Rattus norvegicus: one gene and its partner. The protein of the gene in region 1 interacts with the protein of each later gene in a biochemical or structural test. Links are inferred from orthologs where the notes say so. Each region holds a gene or a part of one and is shown on either strand. Other genes may lie near its edges.

The links. The genes of interacting proteins can lie anywhere in the genome.
Region 2: the proteins of Reln (region 1) and Lrp8 form a complex in vitro, tested with the Homo sapiens proteins (7 studies listed by BioGRID). The link is inferred for Rattus norvegicus from reciprocal best matches to the Homo sapiens genes RELN and LRP8.

Annotation. Positions count from the first base shown.
Region 1 is NC_086022.1:13,988,148-13,992,584, forward strand, and holds part of Reln (reelin precursor), read left to right. Parts: intron 1-917; coding exon 918-1,138; intron 1,139-3,357; coding exon 3,358-3,505; intron 3,506-4,437. UniProt on the Homo sapiens protein: Extracellular matrix serine protease secreted by pioneer neurons that plays a role in layering of neurons in the cerebral cortex and cerebellum by coordinating cell positioning during neurodevelopment.
Region 2 is NC_086023.1:127,847,461-127,851,897, reverse strand, and holds part of Lrp8 (low-density lipoprotein receptor-related protein 8 precursor), read right to left. Parts: intron 3,847-4,437; coding exon 3,694-3,846; intron 2,679-3,693; coding exon 2,454-2,678; intron 1-2,453. UniProt on the Homo sapiens protein: Cell surface receptor for Reelin (RELN) and apolipoprotein E (apoE)-containing ligands. LRP8 participates in transmitting the extracellular Reelin signal to intracellular signaling processes, by binding to DAB1 on its cytoplasmic tail.

The sequences.
Region 1 (4,437 bases):
TTCAGTTTCTCAAATTAAAAACGTCAGATTTTAGCTTACGTGGTCACAAGAAGATAGGTAAATTCATGGGACGCAAAAGTAAGTGTCCATGACCTATCTAATGCCTAGCCCCTCTCTTCTATCTTCTCTGAGCTGACTTTTATGCATGTTTTAAAAAAAAAAGTTATTTCTGGACTTCTGGTTAAATGATTATTTCCAGTAACGTGTTTGTCACCAGTAACATGATAAGATAACTCAGTTGCTAATTTTGGTGATGATGGTGATTTAGGCGATATGCTAGGAGGAGACCAGTGGTTGGTTAGGTTTATATTTAAAAAATAAAAACAAAACAGAGTTTAGGCTGGCCTAGAACTCTCTGCAGAGGCTGGCCTCAAACTAATGGGAGTCTTTCTATCTCTATGTCAGGTTCTGAGATTGCAGGCATGAGTCACCAACCCTGACACATTTGCTTATTTTTTATTAAAAAGTAAAAAAGTAAAACAAGACATAAGAAGAAGCAACCCAAAAAATAAATCTGATTTTCTAACTTTTTTTTTCTCTTAAATTTATTGAGCAGTTACTGTGTTAAAAACCGTGAAAGGGTGTGATAATGTTTGATTCTGTGTTCATGAGTTTTATACCATTTTTTTAACGTTTAGTTATGCAGAGCGGTGCCAGTCAACTAGCTTTTATCATTTTATCAAGAGAGCCAGTGTTGGGACCACAGGAAGATCAGGTGCAGTTTTTCAGTAACTGGTAAAATTCTACTGCCCAAAAAAAATAAAATTAGAATTTCCCACAAATGGCAAGTCTCATTTTCCTCTGTCTTCTAAGTTGATGTATAAGAAGCAATCCCCCTCTGCTCATGGACCGAGGGTGCTAGCTCTAAAGATGTGATGTCCTCATGGGTAACTTTGACACCCTGCTTTGTCTTCCAGATCTGTGCGTTTCCGTTGGTACCAGGGATTCTATCCCGCCGGCTCTCAGCCGGTCACGTGGGCCATTGATAATGTCTACATTGGTCCCCAGTGCGAAGAGATGTGCTGTGGGCATGGGAGCTGCGTCAATGGAACCAAGTGTATATGTGATCCCGGCTACTCCGGTCCAACCTGCAAAATAAGCACCAAAAATCCTGATTTTCTCAAAGACGATTTTGAAGGTAGTCTTCTTTGTGTGCTTCTTGGAAGAATTTACCTATAAGCACAACCTGTGTTGGAGAATTAACCACTCACATATATTCTAATAGTCGTCTTTACAATGGCCAACACACCAAAGTCCCTTTCTCTCTGAATTTTATGGGTTACACTTTTGACACGGCGGTTAGTGAGGGAGAATGAATAAGACTTTAATTGAGAAATTAAAGGTTACCTTCACCACTTTTTTGTAAGATTTATTTAATTTTCGATAGACAGGTTAGATCATTAATGTCTTTTTTTAAGGTCATTAATGTCTTGATACTACTATTGATGCTATTGATAGATACTTATACATAGATAGTTATACATCTAAGAACCTATGAGAAAAATCAAATTCCTTTAGTAAATTAGTTGATTATATTTCACATTTCACATTTATTAGCTAGTTGAGAATTTTGCACAGTGTATTTTGATCATTCACCCTCTCCCCTCTGACTCCTCCTAGATCTACTGATCCACTCATTTCCTGTCCCACCCGACGCCGTGTCCTTTTTATTTCCCCTTTAAGTTTGAACTGCCCAAATATTCGTGGCTATGGGGCCTTGCACGGAGAACGGTCTTATCAGGACTATACTCTTAGACAACCCTGTCTCTCCCTCTCACAAAAGCTGTATAGCCAGCAGCTCCTTGGCTAGGGAGAAACTTCATGCCCAACTAACTGCCTTCCTGCTGGAACTTGGTCTGGCTGGGCTTGTTCAGGTCTTGTGCATGCTATTACAACTGCTTTATTTCCATGACTTTTGATACCACATGTAATTGCTGACAAGTGGCACAAGAATATGCCTAAGGGGTAATCTTGGATTATAAGAAACAGTTTTTCAGAAATCTTGGTTCCACCAACCATTCAGGCAGCCTCTCCTTTTCCACACCTTTATTTTACATCAATACATATGACGGGAGTGTTGCGACAGAGAAAAGTGTACATTATATACTAGTTACATTGGGTGCATCTGAATTGTAGATGTGCTTTTACCAAAGGTTGGATTAAAACATTTTCATATGGTGGACCAATACAGCAGCCATGTGTGTTAGCGAATCAGATCAAAAGATTTTGTTTTCCTCCATTTTCTTTCAATTATTTTGAATTGTTAAAATAATTAAAACCTTAATTGTTTTAATTTTAATAATTTTATTGTTTAATTAATTTTCTAATCATTTAATAATTTTTATCATTTTTAAATTATTTCATTTTTAATTATTTTATTATTTTAATTATTTTATTTTAATAATTGTAAAATATGTGTAATCATTTTTATTATTTATAATTTTATAATACATCTTAACACTACATTTAGGTACAAGCATACAGGGAAACATTACACGGCCATAAAACATTTGAACTATTGATACATGCTACAATGTATATGAACCTTGGAAATAATATAATACGTAAAAGAAACCAGACCCCCCCAAAAAAAATCTACTGCATATTCTGTTTGTGTGCAGCATCTCAAATAAACCTGTCCTTGGAGATTAAAAATAAACAGACTGCTTGGTTGCCAGGGATGCAGAAGAAAGGGAAGCTACTGCTTTATTGATACAGGCTTCTTCTCCTTGAGGGGATGGAAACCTTGAAATAGTTAGTGATAAAGGTTTTACATCAGAAATACACCGATACCATTTTGGATTATTCGCTTTTAAGTTGTTAATACAGTAAACATGTTTTGTGCATTTTCCCTCATTAAAGAAAACTAAATTCACATCTGAGTAGATTTGAAAACTGGCTTTGAAAGGCATTTAACAGCAACTATTAAATTATATTTAAATGTCTGTGATTAAAAAAAAACAAAAACAAAAGCATCCATTTTCAAAAGATACTGTGTTATTCCTCCGTTAAGGCTGCCTCTGATTGGGAAGGACACGGTAGAGACGCTGTGTCCCAGCTTCTGGCCTGTCTTCTGGCCTCATTCTCTTCCTGACTAACCAGCATTTTTCTTTGATGTGCGCTTGCCTGGCTGAACCACAGATAGTTAGGAAAAGCCCCTCTCTGACATGTGTACCTTTTTATCACTCAAGGCTAAAAACACTGAAGACGTTCATGTGATAAAGAGTCCTTTTATCCCAAAATGCACACTTAGGGTTTATGGCTTCACATTTTAAAAGCACATGACACACTCTGTCATATTTCTTTGAAACTGTAATAAACATGGTCATGGGTAAACCACGTTTTCCACTCTCTCAGGTCAACTGGAATCCGATCGATTCTTACTAATGAGCGGTGGGAAACCTTCTCGAAAATGTGGGATCCTTTCCAGTGGGAACAACCTCTTCTTCAATGAGGATGGCTTGCGCATGCTGGTAACACGGGACCTGGATCTATCGCATGCTAGGTAATTGTGGCACACGGTTGTGGCCCTAAAGCAGAAGCCAGGAACTCTTAAGGGTGACACCTCCCGTGCCAATGTTAGGCGTCTCTCCATTCAAAGTCCCCAACAAGACACATGTCACGTAATTTCTAATTCAAGACCTATGTTTGTTCAATACCGACATCACCTGTGAAACACCTAAACAAAATCTGTCATTTTATAATCTCAAGAAATATTTATTCACTCTAACTTCGAAAAATAATATTGTGTCTGTCTTGTTCCCCTTCTACTGACTATAGTCATTGGTACTCGAACTCTTAGTAAGGAGCTCAGTAGAAATGCAATGCATCCTCAAGTTCCTCATGACTCCTCATCAGCAAATTTAGTTGAGAATATTTGAAATACGGTCCAGGGTGTCCGTAAGCAACTAGCCAGTGCTTCTGTAGCACACAAGAAGTCATTTTCTAAATTGAGCATAGTCACTCAGAAAAAAAAATCACATTTTAAGCTGGCTCAGAGAGTCATGCCCTGTCACAATGCATATCCCCTGGTCGCTTGATGAGCCAGAGCCTTAACAGCAAAACATAATGTACAGTTTAACGTGTGGAAAATGCAGCGCTGACCTATTTTTAAATGAACAAGGAAATCATGTTTATGGTTTTAAAACATGTCACAGTGCTTTAAAATACATCCGAACATCCCCTCTTTTTCCTGAATCCAACTTCTGATTATAAATAATACAGTTCACGGAAAATACAAGTCTACCTAAAATAATTTTATAGTTACTGAAAGCAAAATTTTATCCTATCCCATTCTAATGTACGCAGTTTAATTTGCATTCCTTATACGAGATTCTTCAATACCGTCCATGTTCTCTAGTTTAGAAATCATGTTTTTCCAAATAAGGGATTCAGATTTATTTTTCTAAGTGGTTATCTGGCGTTTATATTATCACT
Region 2 (4,437 bases), on another chromosome or scaffold:
ATCCAAGCGCGGCCTGCCCTTGAGCTGTAAGGACCACCCGCCCAACCTCTTCTTGTCCTTGCTCTAAGGTGATGCTCCCAGTTACTGTGTAATAATTCAGTCTCACTAAACATCCCCAAAACTCCAGGGGCAAATAGGACTGAGGTTATTTCACATCCGGGAAACTAAACTTTGATAAATGCAGACTTGGGATTTGAACACAGGACTCATGACCCAAGTCCAATAGGAAGCTGGGGGCTACGCGGCAGGTGAGAGCTTAGGTCTCCTTGCTGCCGATGGGGCTGGCTGTCTTTTTCCACTAAAATCCAATGCACTGTCTCCACTGTTTTGGTGGTCTGCCTGTTCTATGCACTACCAGCTTGTTTTCCTAAGAGATTAAAACCTGATATACTGGAATGTAGTAGAGTGTAATTGGGAGCATAGGCTTCTGGGTCAGGCTTCCTCGGTTCAAATTCTATCTCTATTACACATTACCCGTGTGACCCTGTGGAAGTTAATGTAATATTAAACGTATAATGTATATTATATGTATATTATATTTATCTTAAAATATTTTCTACCTCTTAGGGGTCCATTTAAGGATTAAATGGGATCATATCAGATACTTAGCACAATATCTGGCTGGCATTGCCTAATTCAAGATGGTAGTGAGGTGGTAGTAGTTATGATGAGGGTTAAATTTAAAAAGGTTTGTTAGCCAGGCATGATGGTGAATGCATATCACACCCCACTCGGGATGGTAAGGATAGAAGACCTCAAGTTTAGACTAGCCTGGGCTACATAGCGAGACCCCATCTCTAAAGGATCCTTGTTGCTGTTAAAGGCACATAAAAGCCCATTCTTAAATGAAGAGTAATTATAAATGTATTGTTTTAAATAAATATCCTTCCCTAGCTCTAAGACACCTGAGACACCTGTACAGCTCTATGCCCTGGGATCCCATGAGAGCCCTCTGAGGTGTGAGAGGAATGGCTAGCCACTGGCAATGCCCCCCAATCTATTTCTCCATGTTACTTCAAGAAACTCTGGCTAATCAGGGAGCTGCCCTGTTCACCAAGTTAGCTAATTGGAGGGCGCTGGAGAGATGGCTCACTTGTTAAGTGCTTGCCATTTAGGGATGGGGATCTGAGTTCTGCTCCCAATTCATGTAAAGCCAAGCATGGCAGCATGTGCCCATAGCCCTGGCTGAGGAAGGAGACAGGAGGAGACCTGAAGCTTGCTGGCCAGCCACTTTAGCTGAACCAGTGAGCTCCAGGTTCTGTGAGAGACTGTCTCAAGAATTATATTGCAGAACTATTGAGAACACTCCCAAGGTTGATCTCCAGCTTCAACAAGCACACATACATATTATACACCTTCAGTACACACACGTGCACAAAGATGAACATGTACACACACACACACAAACACACACACACACACATACACACACACACGCCCGCACGCACACACGCACAGGCATGCACGCATACAAAGAAGGAAGAAAACAAGCTAATTGGAAGCACTGCTGTCCCCTTGCTCTGATGTGCTAGGAAACGTCCCAAGACCTGAGAGAACACTCAGACCTCTGCCCCCATGAGAGGAAATGGAATTCCACCTCTGCAAACACCAGGCTGCCTCAAACGTCTATTCTTAGAACCTAGCCTCTGCTGGCTAAACAGCCCTGATCTGAACAATGTCACCAGGTTGCTTGGTTTCTGGGCCAGCCGTGTATGGGGAAAAAATGAGAGATGGTTTATCATTTAAAATGAAGCCCCCCGGCAATTATAAAGGTATTTTCTGGTTAATGAGATACAGCTGTTCCAACAGGACAATTACTGCTCCCAAGGATTAAAGAAGTACTAAGCTTAGTTATTCTATCCAAGATTTGGAAACAGGCACAAGCAGATCATACTTTACAGACATTACTGCCTGGGCAGCTTACCAAGGCTGCCGGGAGCTCGGATAGAGCTTTCCAAACTCGACGACACCCACCTCAGGAACACATGGAACACTGACACATACCCAGGCAGCTGGGCACTTCCATTCACAATGCCTCTTTTGCCTAGTTCCCTCTTTGAGGCAGGGTCTTACCATATTGCCTTGGCAGGCCTGGAACTCTCTATGTAGATCAGGCTGGCCTAAAACTTAGAGATCTGCCTGTCCTGTCTCCTGTTTGCTGACCACCACTGCCAGGAGCCTTTGCCTCTCCTGACCATCTTGAGAAGCAAGTCGAGTGTAGCTTATTATTGGTTCCTTTTAGGGGGAGACTGACGTTTAGAGATGAACGAATGGTTTGCCTCCAGGTCCTTTTAAACTTATGGACACCCAAGCTTCCTCAATCCCAGGACAGGACCTTCTCTCCCTTGCTTCCTCCTAAGAGGTGGACATTACAAGATCTTCCTTCCTAGCCACTCCCGACCCTCATCTTGGCTTCCCCCAAGTTATACGAAATGCAGAGCTGACTTCCTTACAGTGCTGGGAGTGGTTGCTGGTTGCAGGGCTCAGGGTGGACGGGCTGGTGCTGTGAGCCTTAGGGATGTTCACTGAGTGAGGGACGGCAGCTGTCTGGCTTGGCATCTCTGTGCTGTGGTTCTGGTAGGTAGAGTCGTGGATGGTTGTCCCAGGGGCTCCCGTAGTAGCAGGTACTGTCCTTGTCATAGCAGAGGCTAAGGTTGTAGTTGAGGTAGACGGAGGTGCTAGAGGGGAAAGACAGCAGTTTGTTGCTTTGGTGCCCAGTTATGGTTGCTGAGTTCCAGTAGGGGCTCAGCCTCTGGGCTTAGCTCAGATGCCACTATTGTGAAACTTTCCCCCATCCCCGAATGGGCCGTGATCTTCTCTGAAGCTGAGTCCTAGCACTTCACTTTGATCTGATAAAGACGGGTCCGTGGGACAGAGCTGTGGAGACAAGTGTGGAGGAGGCCTCTGTAAAAGACCAGAGGGAGCAGAAATACAAATTGAGAAGCATTTCATCCTCGTCTGTAGTTACATCGTCAGGTTTAAATTCTTCACGTTAAACAGTTGAATCTGGACATTGTAAATGATGTAACAGGCCTGATGCTCAAACCCAAGGTTTGGCTACACATGGGGACTGAGAAACAAAGCCCAGTTGTGAGGATGAAGTGCTAGTCCACCATTAGTCACAACTGCACTCAAGGGCATCTACGCAGTGTGCCAGGTCTAGCTAAGAACAGGCATCTGCTACAAATGGTCAGCAAGGACCAAGGGCTCTTTACTCGAAGTTTTCTTCATTTTAATTTTTACTTTTTGATCTGTTTTTATTTTGTATCTACGGGTGCTTTGCCTGGGCACCACGAGCTCGCCTGGTATCCTCAGAAGTCAGTAGAAGGAATCAGGGTTGGAACTTCTGGAGTTGGAGTTAGGAATGGTTGAAAGCCATCATATAGGTGCTAGGAACTGAGCCAGAGTCCTCTGCAAGAGCAGCAAGTGCTCTCAGCCACGGAGCCTACTCCAGGCCCCATTAACTTGGTTTTCAAGGGATTCTAGAAACTTCCTGAAAGTCGAATTTAAAGCATTTTATGCGCATTGCACTTTTCTTGGAGATGGGAAAGCCTTGGAGGGTGCCATGAACTCACTCTGTCAAGGACGTTTAGATAAGACGAAGGTGCAGATGTGAGAGGCAACCGGGGAAGTTGGAGGAAAAGCTGGAGCATACTGAGTCCCTACGAGTCCAGGGCAATGTTTGTCACTAACCTCGGTAGCATCTCTTCATGTCTGGGCCCAGCCACATTGTGTCAGGACAGGCACAGGTGTACTTGGGAGAGTGGCTGGAGATCTGAGGAGCAGGAAGGCACAGGTATTCACAGCCGCCATTGGGCTGGGCACTCAGCTCACAGGCATCTGCAGCTAATGGCAGGGGGAGGAGCAGACAGAGAGCATGTTGGGAGATTGACAGGCCATGCCAGGTCCTCTTGTCTACCAATAGTGAGTTCCCACCAACTGGACTTGCACAGAAATCTTTCCCCACCAGCATAGTAGCTGGGACTTTATCGTTACCCTCATTCATTCTTACAGTTCTGAGAGGTGGGTTACGGTTCCAGGTGACAGAGAAGCCTACCCTCAGAGAACACACGGACACGTTACAACTCTAGGAATTTTAAGTCTACCTCTCCCCGACTGTGTCTGTCTCGTTTGTTCCTCCTCTGGGCACCTGCCGTCTCTTTCTGCTTTAAGTCTCTAGAACTAGAATCAGGTGCAGACCTCATCGTCTTGCCCCTCTCTTTGCTGTCTCCCTTACCCTGGCAGCCATTACTGGTTACAGCTGGTCATGGCAGCGGATGACACAGCCCTGTGGTACGACTATTAGACCGTTCCCAGTAAGCCACCTGGCTAACTGTAAGGCCTGGAGACACAGGAGTTTGCAGTACTGCAAAATGGGTGCTAGAAGTAAGTGCACACTGATGTGTCGCGACAGAAGGAACTTGGCAATCAGGTGGC